Linked DNA regions of Saccharomyces cerevisiae S288C. Changing the gene in region 2 together with the main gene of any one other region gives a genetic interaction. Each region holds a gene or a part of one and is shown on either strand. Other genes may lie near its edges.

Evidence for each region.
Region 1: mutations in GAL7 (region 2) and GAL80 together harm fitness less than expected from each alone (positive genetic interaction), as found in Saccharomyces cerevisiae (one study listed by BioGRID).
Region 3: mutations in GAL7 (region 2) and MSC6 together harm fitness more than expected from each alone (negative genetic interaction), as found in Saccharomyces cerevisiae (2 studies listed by BioGRID).
Region 4: mutations in GAL7 (region 2) and DFP2 together harm fitness more than expected from each alone (negative genetic interaction), as found in Saccharomyces cerevisiae (2 studies listed by BioGRID).

What each region holds. Positions count from the first base shown.
Region 1 is NC_001145.3:169,587-173,416, forward strand, and holds GAL80 (transcription regulator GAL80), read left to right. Parts: upstream 1-2,007; coding exon 2,008-3,315; downstream 3,316-3,830. Other genes in the region: YML053C (uncharacterized protein), read right to left, coding at 1-168; SUR7 (Sur7p), read left to right, coding at 816-1,724; AIM32 (Aim32p), read left to right, coding at 3,553-3,830. UniProt on the Saccharomyces cerevisiae protein: This protein is a negative regulator for the gene expression of the lactose/galactose metabolic genes. It binds to GAL4 and so blocks transcriptional activation by it, in the absence of an inducing sugar.
Region 2 is NC_001134.8:273,888-277,480, forward strand, and holds GAL7 (UDP-glucose:hexose-1-phosphate uridylyltransferase), read right to left. Parts: upstream 1,641-3,593; coding exon 540-1,640; downstream 1-539. Other genes in the region: GAL10 (bifunctional UDP-glucose 4-epimerase/aldose 1-epimerase), read right to left, coding at 2,366-3,593.
Region 3 is NC_001147.6:1,000,616-1,005,131, forward strand, and holds MSC6 (Msc6p), read right to left. Parts: upstream 2,611-4,516; coding exon 532-2,610; downstream 1-531. Other genes in the region: SOG2 (Sog2p), read right to left, coding at 1-213. UniProt on the Saccharomyces cerevisiae protein: May be involved in the control of meiotic sister-chromatid recombination.
Region 4 is NC_001133.9:184,763-187,115, reverse strand, and holds DFP2 (DUP240 family protein), read right to left. Parts: upstream 796-2,353; coding exon 571-795; downstream 1-570. Other genes in the region: pheromone-regulated DUP240 family protein PRM9, read right to left, coding at 1-280; KTD1 (DUP240 family protein), read right to left, coding at 1,520-2,224.

The DNA.
Region 1 (3,830 bases), on a different chromosome or scaffold from region 2:
CTTCGATCTTTGGTAGAAAGTGTGTGTATCAAACTCGAAATGGTCATTTTTTCTTTTATTCATGATCGTATCATTATTGGCGTCGCTGTTGTATGTAGTGGCGGCATTGCTACCGGAATTGCAATTGTTTGTTTGGAACGCAGTATTGTGTTCATAGTATGAGAGCATTTCACGCAGCACACTTGAGTCTTAAATTAATGAATAAAAGCAGCCAACCCCAAGAAAAAAGAGCCCTTATCTGTTTCTGTCGCAGTCCTATTGTATTCTTCCTAACTATATAATTTTGTCAAAATGAAAAATATAAAAAAAATAATAAAGTCAGCTGAGTGGTAAAGAGAAAGCAAAGGGAGAGAAAAATCGGTTACCCAGATGGATTAGGTTACCCAGATGTCATACGTGTATCATGATTTCTAGAAATTATTACCCTGTTTGGTACCATGACAACGGATATGGCAATCTTGCATTAAGTAAAATGTCTCTAATGGGACCGTGAAGGTACAAAACAGCAATGGTCTAGGTAGTGGCATTCGAAGCTTCGAAAGCGTGGCCTCGCCTCGAGCGTGAAGTCATATTTTCTCACTCTGCACTGCCGTGCTGTGCCATGTAGCCCACTGTATGCCTCTAGCACCCCAATCGGGAAAATTGTAAACATTAGCAGGTGTCGCCTCGAGGCCCCCGATACATTTTTCAACATCTCCTCGATACTTAAACAGCAAACAAACAAGCAACACCCACGCAAGAAGATTTATTAATACCTCTTGACTCCCGTAGATATTGAAGAGACTAAGTATAGTAACGCATATCCGCACAATACTATGGTTAAGGTCTGGAATATAGTACTACGTCTGGTAGTGTTGCTGTTTTTAGCAGGTAATACCTTGCTGTTAATTTTGATGATTATATCTGGTGCCACGGACCATTACCCCGTGAACAGATTCTATTGGGTGCAGGGCAATACAACAGGCATACCTAATGCTGGGGATGAAACACGTTGGACGTTTTGGGGCGCCTGTCTACAGGATAAAGACGGGTCGGATACCTGCACAAGCAATTTGGCACCTGCATACCCCATTTCCCCAGTAGATAACTTCAACACACACATCAATGTCCCTCACCAGTTTATTTCCAAAAGAGACGCTTTTTACTACCTGACTAGATTTTCATTTTGTTTCTTTTGGATTGCGCTTGCCTTTGTAGGTGTGTCGTTTATCCTTTACGTTTTGACTTGGTGCTCGAAGATGCTTTCAGAGATGGTGCTTATCCTCATGTCTTTTGGGTTTGTCTTCAATACGGCAGCCGTTGTCTTGCAAACGGCCGCCTCTGCCATGGCAAAGAATGCTTTCCATGACGATCATCGTAGTGCCCAATTGGGTGCCTCTATGATGGGTATGGCTTGGGCAAGTGTCTTTTTATGTATCGTGGAATTTATCCTGCTGGTCTTCTGGTCTGTTAGGGCAAGGTTGGCCTCTACTTACTCCATCGACAATTCAAGATACAGAACCTCCTCCAGATGGAATCCCTTCCATAGAGAGAAGGAGCAAGCAACTGACCCAATATTGACTGCCACTGGACCTGAAGACATGCAACAAAGTGCAAGCATAGTGGGGCCTTCTTCCAATGCTAATCCGGTCACTGCCACTGCTGCTACGGAAAACCAACCTAAAGGTATTAACTTCTTCACTATAAGAAAATCACACGAGCGCCCGGACGATGTCTCTGTTTAAATGGCGCAAGTTTTCCGCTTTGTAATATATATTTATACCCCTTTCTTCTCTCCCCTGCAATATAATAGTTTAATTCTAATATTAATAATATCCTATATTTTCTTCATTTACCGGCGCACTCTCGCCCGAACGACCTCAAAATGTCTGCTACATTCATAATAACCAAAAGCTCATAACTTTTTTTTTTGAACCTGAATATATATACATCACATATCACTGCTGGTCCTTGCCGACCAGCGTATACAATCTCGATAGTTGGTTTCCCGTTCTTTCCACTCCCGTCATGGACTACAACAAGAGATCTTCGGTCTCAACCGTGCCTAATGCAGCTCCCATAAGAGTCGGATTCGTCGGTCTCAACGCAGCCAAAGGATGGGCAATCAAGACACATTACCCCGCCATACTGCAACTATCGTCACAATTTCAAATCACTGCCTTATACAGTCCAAAAATTGAGACTTCTATTGCCACCATTCAGCGTCTAAAATTGAGTAATGCCACTGCTTTTCCCACTTTAGAGTCATTTGCATCATCTTCCACTATAGATATGATAGTGATAGCTATCCAAGTGGCCAGCCATTATGAAGTTGTTATGCCTCTCTTGGAATTCTCCAAAAATAATCCGAACCTCAAGTATCTTTTCGTAGAATGGGCCCTTGCATGTTCACTAGATCAAGCCGAATCCATTTATAAGGCTGCTGCTGAACGTGGGGTTCAAACCATCATCTCTTTACAAGGTCGTAAATCACCATATATTTTGAGAGCAAAAGAATTAATATCTCAAGGCTATATCGGCGACATTAATTCGATCGAGATTGCTGGAAATGGCGGTTGGTACGGCTACGAAAGGCCTGTTAAATCACCAAAATACATCTATGAAATCGGGAACGGTGTAGATCTGGTAACCACAACATTTGGTCACACAATCGATATTTTACAATACATGACAAGTTCGTACTTTTCCAGGATAAATGCAATGGTTTTCAATAATATTCCAGAGCAAGAGCTGATAGATGAGCGTGGTAACCGATTGGGCCAGCGAGTCCCAAAGACAGTACCGGATCATCTTTTATTCCAAGGCACATTGTTAAATGGCAATGTTCCAGTGTCATGCAGTTTCAAAGGTGGCAAACCTACCAAAAAATTTACCAAAAATTTGGTCATTGACATTCACGGTACCAAGGGAGATTTGAAACTTGAAGGCGATGCCGGCTTCGCAGAAATTTCAAATCTGGTCCTTTACTACAGTGGAACTAGAGCAAACGACTTCCCGCTAGCCAATGGACAACAAGCTCCTTTAGACCCGGGGTATGATGCAGGTAAAGAAATCATGGAAGTATATCATTTACGAAATTATAATGCCATTGTGGGTAATATTCATCGACTGTATCAATCTATCTCTGACTTCCACTTCAATACAAAGAAAATTCCTGAATTACCCTCACAATTTGTAATGCAAGGTTTCGATTTCGAAGGCTTTCCCACCTTGATGGATGCTCTGATATTACACAGGTTAATCGAGAGCGTTTATAAAAGTAACATGATGGGCTCCACATTAAACGTTAGCAATATCTCGCATTATAGTTTATAAAAGCATCTTGCCCTGTGCTTGGCCCCCAGTGCAGCGAACGTTATAAAAACGAATACTGAGTATATATCTATGTAAAACAACCATATCATTTCTTGTTCTGAACTTTGTTTACCTAACTAGTTTTAAATTTCCCTTTTTCGTGCATGCGGGTGTTCTTATTTATTAGCATACTACATTTGAAATATCAAATTTCCTTAGTAGAAAAGTGAGAGAAGGTGCACTGACACAAAAAATAAAATGCTACGTATAACTGTCAAAACTTTGCAGCAGCGGGCATCCTTCCATCATAGCTTCAAACATATTAGCGTTCCTGATCTTCATACCCGTGCTCAAAATGATCAAACAAACTGTTATTGCCAAGAAATAAACGCAAGGCTGCCTTCAAAAACTGATCCATTAGATCCTCATATCAAGCTTCCTCATAGAACGCCCAATTACAATAAGCATGTTTTGCTGTTATCACCGGGTGATAGGTTTGCTCAACCATGGAAGGTAGCATGGAATCATAATTTGGA
Region 2 (3,593 bases):
AATAACATAGGTGCAGGATTTCCATCGATAACGACACCGACAATGAGCCTTGCTGCAACATCCAATTAGGACTAATAACTATCGTAGGAATTTCTACGTAATAAACTTCAACAGAGCCTAAAATTTGAAAATAAATAATCTAGAGGGGAAACTTAAAGAAATTCTATTCTTGTCAATAAAGTGGAAATGTGTCAGATGTCACAGTTTCTTTATTTGTGACACATATTTTCAACATAAATTCAGGCATTAGTGCTTTTATAAGCATAAGAAGTTGTGGCGATATGAATATTCCAGATTTTACTTACAAGCTGCATTGTATTCCTAAAATTCTTTTTTCTTTTTTTTTTTTTTTATGGAAAGGACCACTCTTACATAACTAGAATAGCATTAAGAATCAGATTTACAGATAATGATGTCATTATTAAATATATATATATATATATTGTCACTCCGTTCAAGTCGACAACCAATAAAAAATTTAAAAGAAACCAGGCAGTTAATAGAAAAAATATGATATGAATGAATATTCCACTTTCTTTTTACAGTCTTTGTAGATAATGAATCTGACCATCTAAATTTCTTAGTTTTTCAGCAGCTTGTTCCGAAGTTAAATCTCTTTGAGGCTCACCTAACAATTCAAAACCAACCAAGAATTTCCGAACAGTAGCTGATCTCAGTAAAGGTGGGTAGAAATGCATGTGAAACCAACTATTACTCAATTCATCACCAGTCGCATTCAAAGGAGCCTGATGGATACCCATTGAGTATGGGAAACTCGTTTCAAATAAATTATCATACTTAATAGTTAGTTGCTTTAAAATCGAGGCGAGGTCCTCCTTCACCATTTGGTTAAATTGGCTAATTGAGGCAAGCTTCTTCTTTGAAATGACCAAGGTCTCAAATGGCCAGATGGCCCAGTATGGAACAACAACAATAAAGGATTCATTCTCCACTACGACTCTTGACTTCTCTCTTGATTCTAATTTGACGTAATCGGCAAACAAATCAGTATTGTGTTCACGTTTATATTTATCAAAAGATTTCAATTCTTGCGAAACTTCACTAGGGATGGATTCTAAGCACCAAGCTTGGCCATGTGGATGTAAGTTGGAACAACCCATGGCTGTACCTTTGTTTTCAAATATTTGGACATATTTGAAAGGCTTATGATTTTCTCTTGCTTCTCTGGAGAGATCGTCAGTCAATGCTTGCCAAGAATTAACAATATGAACCAGATCTGATTGTTTCATTTGTGGAATGGTTAGATTATGATTGGGGCTAAAACATATGACGAAACAATTGCCTCTCACAGATTGCACTTTAAGCAGCCTATTTTTAAGATTATCCTCATTGGAATCATTCTGTGGTAAAATAGGTTGATCGAGCCTAACGGCAGCATAATCATTGGGGAAAATATACGTTGATTCATATCTTGGGTTTAGGTTACCAGTAGCTCTTTTGTTACCAGGACATAGATAGCATTTTGGATCATACAATGGAGCTGTGGGCTTGTAAGCAGCCTCCTGTTGACCTAACCAAGGTCTTTTAGCTCTGTGTGGAGAAACTAAGATCCATGAATCGGTTAGTGGATTGTAACGTCTATGGGAATGGCTAGAAAAATCAAATTCTTCAGCAGTCATTTTTGAGGGAATATTCAACTGTTTTTTTTTATCATGTTGATGCTCTGCATAATAATGCCCATAAATATTTCCGACCTGCTTTTATATCTTTGCTAGCCAAACTAACTGAACATAGCTACACATTATTTTCAGCTTGGCTATTTTGTGAACACTGTATAGCCAGTCCTTCGGATCACGGTCAACAGTTGTCCGAGCGCTTTTTGGACCCTTTCCCTTATTTTTGGGTTAAGGAAAATGACAGAAAATATATCTAATGAGCCTTCGCTCAACAGTGCTCCGAAGTATAGCTTTCCAAAAGGAGAGGCAAAGCAATTTAAGAATGTATGAACAAAATAAAGGGGAAAAATTACCCCCTCTACTTTACCAAACGAATACTACCAATAATATTTACAACTTTTCCTTATGATTTTTTCACTGAAGCGCTTCGCAATAGTTGTGAGTGATATCAAAAGTAACGAAATGAACTCCGCGGCTCGTGCTATATTCTTGTTGCTACCGTCCATATCTTTCCATAGATTTTCAATTTTTGATGTCTCCATGGTGGTACAGAGAACTTGTAAACAATTCGGTCCCTACATGTGAGGAAATTCGCTGTGACACTTTTATCACTGAACTCCAAATTTAAAAAATAGCATAAAATTCGTTATACAGCAAATCTATGTGTTGCAATTAAGAACTAAAAGATATAGAGTGCATATTTTCAAGAAGGATAGTAAGCTGGCAAATCAGGAAAATCTGTAGACAATCTTGGACCCGTAAGTTTCACCGTTTTTCAAGGTTACACAATCTTTCCAGTTCTCTTGATTGATAGCATCAATGTATCTACCAGGCTCAATTGCAAAACCTTGTCTTGCTTCGTAACCAGCAGACAAGAAATCACCGGTATAAAATTGATAAGTTGGCTCTGTACTTAAAACTTCTAATGTAATATTGGAATCGGGATGAAAAGCCTTGACAATAAGCGTCAATTCATTGTTTAGAGTATTGATTTGACTTGGCTTAGCATTTTCATCCACCACAAAACAACAATCAAACTGGGGATTTTTGGGGCCTAAGACCGTTGGCTTTGTAGAGTTAAAGGTAGCAATTTCTCTATCGACGATATTACCCGTAGGAATCATGTTTTTGTCGACATCAACAGATTTTTTTGAACGCACCATAATCTCCGTACCCTCAATAGTGTCTCCATATGGCTTGTTCAGATTGAAATAACTATGATTTGTTAAATTTATTGGCGTCGCTTCACCAGCAGTCAATTTACCTTTATATACCATTTCCAAACTTTTTTGGGCAACGTTCACAGTATACTGTATGGTTACCAATAGATCACCTGGAAATTCGGTGTCCTTCTCATTATCTATCAGCATGTACTCGGCGGTAAAAACATCCTTTGAAGGATTTTGAATGATGGGTCCCAAAAATCTTTTTCTGTGGAAAGAACCGATACTACTATGATTCGCATTAACGCCGTTATTAACGGTTAACTGATAGTCTTTGTTGCATAAACTAAACTTACCCTTCGAAATACGATTAGCATACCTGCCGATCGTGGCGCCTATATAAGCACTATCAGGATTCAAATACCCTTCCTCATTTTCATAGCCAAGAACAACTGATTGTCCGTTCACTTTCAGGTCAACAATGCTGGCGCCCAAATTGGCAAACGTGGCTTGAAATCTGGTGCCGGCACCAATAGTCACAAATCTTGCGTCATAACGCATATCTTCAGCGGAAAATCTGGCCTCGACACCCCTTAACTGGTAACCAAAAGGATTCTCAGTAGTCCATTTCCATAAATCCTTGCAGGAGTCTTCAACCTGCAACTCGGTCTGCCATTTCAGTTCGCGTTTGGCCCTATCTGGTTTAGCCGTCAAGTTCAAAACATCACCTGCTCTTCTGCCCGTAACTTTGTATGGAAGATCAATACCAGAAGCTTTGCAGAATGCATGATAA
Region 3 (4,516 bases), on a different chromosome or scaffold from region 2:
CAGTCTTTCAACATTTTGGATATATCCCACATCTTCATCTGATATGGACTTGATATTAAGAGCTATTAATTTTAGTGTAGTACCACTAGAGCTGGATTTCTCTTGTGTTGCCAACTCAGATATTATAGTGTTGCTTGAATTAGTGGATGTTTTGTCAGCAGGCAAATGTTCCTCCTTCGGATCCAACGTCCTCTTTGAAGATGTCGCTACCATACGTTACGGATACTTATAGACTTAACTCCCCCCAATAAGTTCAGGTGAAAAGTAGCATGGAGTTTTGGCATTAACTTTATTTGCCCACTTATATTTAGAGATCTTGAAATACTTTTTGTTACCCGACTTGTAGCTTCATTTTTTCATTTTTTTTTTTTTTTTTTATTTTTATTTTGTATTGTTCTTTGAAAGAATCATGCATGGAAGCAATAACTATTATACGGAAGTTATATACAAGAAATCATTATATAGTTACAGCATCATATGTGCAGAAAATTGGTTCTGAGCTTTTCTTATTGTCTTCTTATGACAAGTGTATTAAGTCAACTTTTCTGGAACAGTAATTCCATCACATTCTTTTAAAATTTGAATATCCTTAGGGTTGGGACGAAAACCCTCATTAGTGCCTAAATCTCGCATAAACTGGTTAATAAAAGCAACCTCTTTGTCAGATAACTGCTGAGTATTGCGTGCAAATGTGGCCAAGTTGAATAGAATTTTCGAAACGGCCAAGTTCGACACCCTGATACTTGAATCCTTAGCTAGATTGTAGTACTTTTCGATGTAGGGAACGTACTCGCTATGTTTACTCTTGTAAAGTTTATCACAGAACCCCAATAATAAAGCATTTAGAGGCGTATTATCCACGTTTCTCTTTCTAGTCTTTTGATATGAGAGAAAATCAGAAAACAAATTCTTTGCCTCGGCCACTGTGCCGTCAGGCTTATTAAACTCTGCGGAAATAAAGTCTGCATAATTCCTAGCATTTAAGTGAGTTCCCAATTGTTTGTAAAGTTGACGAATCGGCTCGACAGTGGGGCACACTGAAATAAAGGCTTTCGTAATCTTTTCAACCTTTTCATAATCGGTGGGATTAATGGAAACACTTTGCAATAGATCGAATTGTGGGCGTGTATCTTCTGCCTGAAATTTATAATTAGCGTACATTTTAATGCTTAGAGTATCCAAAGTAGGGGGTAACACACCATCTGATGGATAATGGTTATAGTAAAATGTGTTGAATTGTTCTTCGCTCACTTTTTCATCATCTAACATTAGCAATAAAACTTTATTGAACAACTTCTTGGTTTTAACAGTCTCTGCTAACTCCCCTTTGACTTGGTCATACTTTAGAGGCGAAGTTTGACATAAGGCCAGGAGAAATGCTTCCTTCACGATGGGATCTTTCTTGAACTTTTTAGGAAGTTCTTCTTCCCAAAATTCCTTTAAATGGTTGAAATTTCCAGAATCAGTTAGTGCGTTAACTAGCGTCGCATAAGATGTGTTTTTAATATTATCTCCTGGTTTGATAACACTGTTCCAGACTGCTAGAATTCTGTCCAACTTCTCTTTACTCGATTTAGCTCGTAAGTGCGACACAGCTCTTAAAAGACAATCTTTCAGCGACGTACTATTTGGGAAAACCTTGCTATACTGGTTATAAATAGTAACAACTTGGTCGGGTTTATCCAAATCAATAAACTTGTCCATGAACTTGCTTATGATCTCTACATTTTTCTCACCTTCAAGTTTATTGTATTGGCCATAAAGATCCCTTAAATCTATCCATCTAGGAGCATTTTCAATTTGACTTAAGAAATGATCACTATCCTGTACTGTGTATTGATAGTACAAAGTGTTTAGATTTTTGATAATCACGTCTCTTCTTTCAAGAGAGCTAAATTCTGTACTTAACATTCTTCTAATCATGTTAAAAGGTAAAACCTGGCCCATTTTACGATCGATCTGTAAAATCTTATACAGAATATTGATATCCACAGTATTCTCTGGTAAAGATAAGTAAGCAATGGTGGTAATTGCAATATTTTGCATATGTGCACGAGAAGAACTATTTTGAAGTAAGATCACTGGGTTTTCGGAAATGGTTTCCAAGTACTTCACCCATAAGGCAATAACGTCCTGTGGTGATTGATTATATAGAAGGTACTTTAAAACAATCGTGAAATGTTGTGAGCGTGCCAATTTGTATTGGCACAATGTGTTTAATACTTGATAAGGATCTAGCGTCATATTTTTGCTTCTGTAACTTAATTCCTGTAGGAGATCCGAAGAAAAATTCGCTAACAAGTGTGATCTTTCCATAGGTGAAGGGTTCCTTAATTTCTGTTTCAACGATTCAATCTTATCTTTAAAGTCATTAAAAACTTCATTGATATCTGAATCTGGAGCTTTCAACTCGTTCTTCAAATCAGCAGCCAAATTTTGTACCCTTTCAAACGGTGAGACGTGCTTTTCTCTATTTCCTGAATGTCCATCATCTGTTTCTTGTAAGTGAACGCTGCTTTGTTGGTATATCGATGTTGAAGAGGTTAGACATCTTCGTGAAATAATCACCTTTGAACAATCAAAGGCCCTTAAAGCATTATGGGAAAGCATCTGTATCCCAGTGGAAGGCTCTGATATTATTTTGTGCAGAGCCAACTTAAGCAAACATATAGACAGTACGTCCTTAGTTAGACATGTGTAGCAATTGAACGATTCCACAGGCGGTATGTATATCGTATATGATGATATTACATTTTACTTACCCCGCTTTTTCCCTCTTATAATCGATTAATTACTTAGTCGACGAGCAACCTTTTATGGCATATTTGAAAGGTAATACAATGTTCCAACTTCGTTTTTTATTCACAGATCAATTAACGTATTGGCACACCTGATATTTCCTCAATAGTAAGTAGTTTTGGTGATGTAACTTTGACACTACCTTCGACCGAATATTCACTTATAAAACTTATATATTACTTGCTTTTACTTCTAACTTGTCTGGAGAGTTCAATCTTTGTTTTCAGCTCTATATACCGGTTTTCTGCATCGGCGGCTAAATGGTATTCTTTTCCGCTTGGCTCTACACAATGTTTATTAAGCTGAGCGTCGGTGTTTCCGATTTGGACCGTTTGACTTTCTTTTTGGACTGGTTTTCTTTTTTAGTACGAGGTGTACGGACAAAAGATACTAACGGACAAAACGCGGTTGCAACTGAAATTTTTTTTTCACTATTTTCGTAGGGCACATTGGTGTAAATATATATATATATACTCAAGGTTCATCTCGTTTTTTTTAATATTCTTGTTCCTTACTCTTGATCATACGTAGAATGTATGTCTTTATCCTGAAAGTAAAGAAAGGATTATACAATGCTGAAATGTTAGTACTAAATATGAGCATACAATCACTTGTTGTTCACTAGTTCAACGAGTTTCATTCATATTCAACTCACGCAAGGGATTATGGAAGAAGAATCCTTTTTATGAAAGGGAAAAAAAACCGAAATACTATGTTAACTGCTTCCAACGCTCTATACTAATGCGCATGAAGATTTTACTTGCGAATCAAACTGATTCGCACGCAATATCTAAGTCTGCTATACCTACCTTACATCTCGCCGTATGTTATGGGTGCAAGGGTGTTTTTTTTTTTTTATATTTTTTTTGTTTGGGGTTTTCGATACTTTGTGAAGGAACGACGCAGAAAAAAACGAAAATCATACGCCCGATGAAATTTTTGATAAGAAAATTTTCTGAAAACCCATGCGATGAGAAGTCAAAAATTTTTCTTCTTCTCCTTTTCTTGTACTTTTATCCCGGCTAGTTCTTTTTCTAAAATTTTCATATTCCAGTCCAATATTTTACTTCATTTTTTTTTTCTGTTCTCGCTTGGCTTGATTTAATTTTTTACGTAGGTTTTTTTTACACGATATTGTTTGTATTATCAGTATTCCCTTCAAGCTCCCCTTTTTTTTATCAATTAAGGTTCTTGGTAATTTCTATTTCTGAAAAACCAAAAACAAAAAGTCATTGATTGACTATTTGACTCAAATTACCAAAATCATAACTTTTCTTTTCAGCATTCCATTATTGAAGGCTTTAAAATAATAGTTTCTTTTTTCCTATTATTTTATTTTTTCCTTTACATTGGAATACATTTTATTTTGAGTTTTAATTTTTTTTATTTTCTATTCCATTGTTTTTTATTTGCTTTGGACTGCCCTTTTCGTAATAATTTCCCTTTTTACCCTATTTTAGTCACTTCTGTGTCAGCAAGCGGGATTATATAAAGAAACGTTAGCAGAAACAATATCAGCAAAATAGAAAATAAACGGGCAATCAATCAATAACTACAGAAATATTGGGAGGTTTTAACTAATTTTTCCAGGATATTTCAACTTTTCATAAATCAAATTTTTTTTACTTTTTTTTTTGCTTTGCTATAGTATTTTAGAAAAGGACAAAAAAATACGAAAAAAGACAAAAAACCATATAAAAAAATTGATTAGAAGAAC
Region 4 (2,353 bases), on a different chromosome or scaffold from region 2:
CCTTGGGAAGAGCCACATTTTTCTCAATTAAATATGCACTGGGTTCGTCGAGAAAATCCGACTTGGCGTCGGTACTTTCTGAAGATGTTTGCATGCCCAGTTTATATCTTGTCTTCTCTATAGCTCTGCTATGGTGTTGAAGGATGTTATGCGGATCAAAATAGCGATCTGTCTTATACCAATTGAAACTTTTCATCACCTGCTTTTTACTTCGGAGGCATTTTTCATTCAATACTAAGTTCCGGAATGATACAAAATAAAAATGGTATTGAGGCGACATAAGTTGTTAGCACAGCAAAGATGGTTGCGGGTTAAGTTTTCTGATCGTTCTGGGAGAGTATTTACGTTAAAAAATAGGAATCAATTAAGCATAATCATGCCGTTTTGTGTGCTACATATCTGTTTCCCACTATATAAAGTCACGTTAGAATGCAATTTATCTAATTTACTACCCCATTTTAGCGTCAGTGGATTGGTAAATCCCTTTGCTAGCAAGGTACTGTCAGAATATTTCTCCTTCCTTTCAAATAATTGCACCAATATCTTGCCAATACTTCACTTGAGATTGTTCTACAATATCCGCTGTCTTGGAAAGCAATTTTGAAAATCTTCTCCGGGATTTAATGTGAAAGATTCGCCAGCTTCAGTCTCCTGTACATTTTCCTCAGCGTTGCTTGTTGGCTTCTCGAAAGTTCTTCCCTCAATAAAACTTAGAAAAAGACGGTGGCAATCTTCTTCGCAATAAAAGTAGTAAGGAGTACTCCATATTTTATGGTCAAATAGATATTTATTCATCTTGTACGTGATAATGTTTCATTCCCCTTTCACCGAACGCTGGCGTGTGCTTACCTCTAACGAAAGCCTAATATTAGATGCTTTATTGTCGGTCTGTCCCGGAGATGAAAAAAGAGGATAGAAGGGACATGAGATGGTATACTCGGAAATTAGTCAGTGAAATCAAAATTACAGATGCCAGGAACATAATCATTATCGGCTTACAATGAGCCCCCTCGTAACACGTAAAGTGAATAACTTAAGTACGAATTGAACATGTCTTTGGGAAGGACCACATTTCCCTCAACTAAATTGGCACCATCTCCACTCAACACATCCAGTCTAATATTTTTATTTTGTGGTTGCGATTGCATACACGATTTGAGTACTAAATTTTTGACGAATGTAATACGGACCAAACAACAGCTTTTTTATTCACTAGTTATTCTTATAACTACAACACCAAACCCTTTTTGAGATCCTTTTTTTCTTTTTCTATTGTTTGGATTTTCTTGGCTGCATTATGCGAAGCGCAACAATAGAATGTGACAAAAACTGACAGAACCCTTATTAAACAAATATGAAAACCTCTAAAAAAACTTACAAATACGATAGTTGTAGGCCATGATGTTTGTACAGCTCGAATATATGATGCTCAATTCTGGCTTCGAGATGTTCTTGAATTCGATTCTTGTTCTCGTTTTAAAGAAAAGTAAGTATACTTGGTGAATAAAATGCTTCCGCTTCAAGGTAAATCAGCGTCAGGATATTGCTTTCTCCAGTATTCACTTTGAGCCTCCTTTTCTATTTGTGTTGCCTTCAAAACATATGCCATCAAAATAGGGTCTGATCTAATACTATAAAAGTTGTTTAGACCATTTGAAGTCTTCCCTGCTGAGACAGGTGATTGTGTATCCTCGGCACTATTCGATGAGGAATCCGAGTGCGAACCAGAATTCACTTCCTTGATAAGAGTGGTGAAGAACTCATGGCACTTCTTGCCGCTATAGAAATAGTACGGGGTATACCATAGTCTCTTCATGAATAGATATTGGTTCATATTATATGCGACAGTACCCCATTCCTTCCCCGCAGGCTTGCGTGCGATCACCTCCACTAAAAGCTTTATCATGAACTCCTGTTCAGTGATCGCTTTCCCGAATGTGAATGCTGCAACCACCATTAAAGCCATGGAGGCTACTATAAGGGACATCACTAAGATCACAGTGCACCCGTCGTTATCATGAAAAAGCACAATCAATGAGATCAAACTCACGATTATGATGATCATAAACATGATCGGTTTACAATGAGCAATTTCATAAAGTACATAACTCAGATGTGAACTGAATGTGTCTTCGGGAAGAGCTACATTCTCTTCGATTAAATGTGCACTGGGTTCGTCGAGAGTATCCATCTTTACGTCGGTATTTTCTGAAGGTGTTTGCATGGTCAATTGATATCTTGCCTTAATATGGCACTTATAGATGTTATCCTGATCAAAATAGCCAGCTGTTTTATGCTTTTTTAACGTTGTTCACCATTGTATTTATTATTTTTGAGGCATTTTTCACGTATT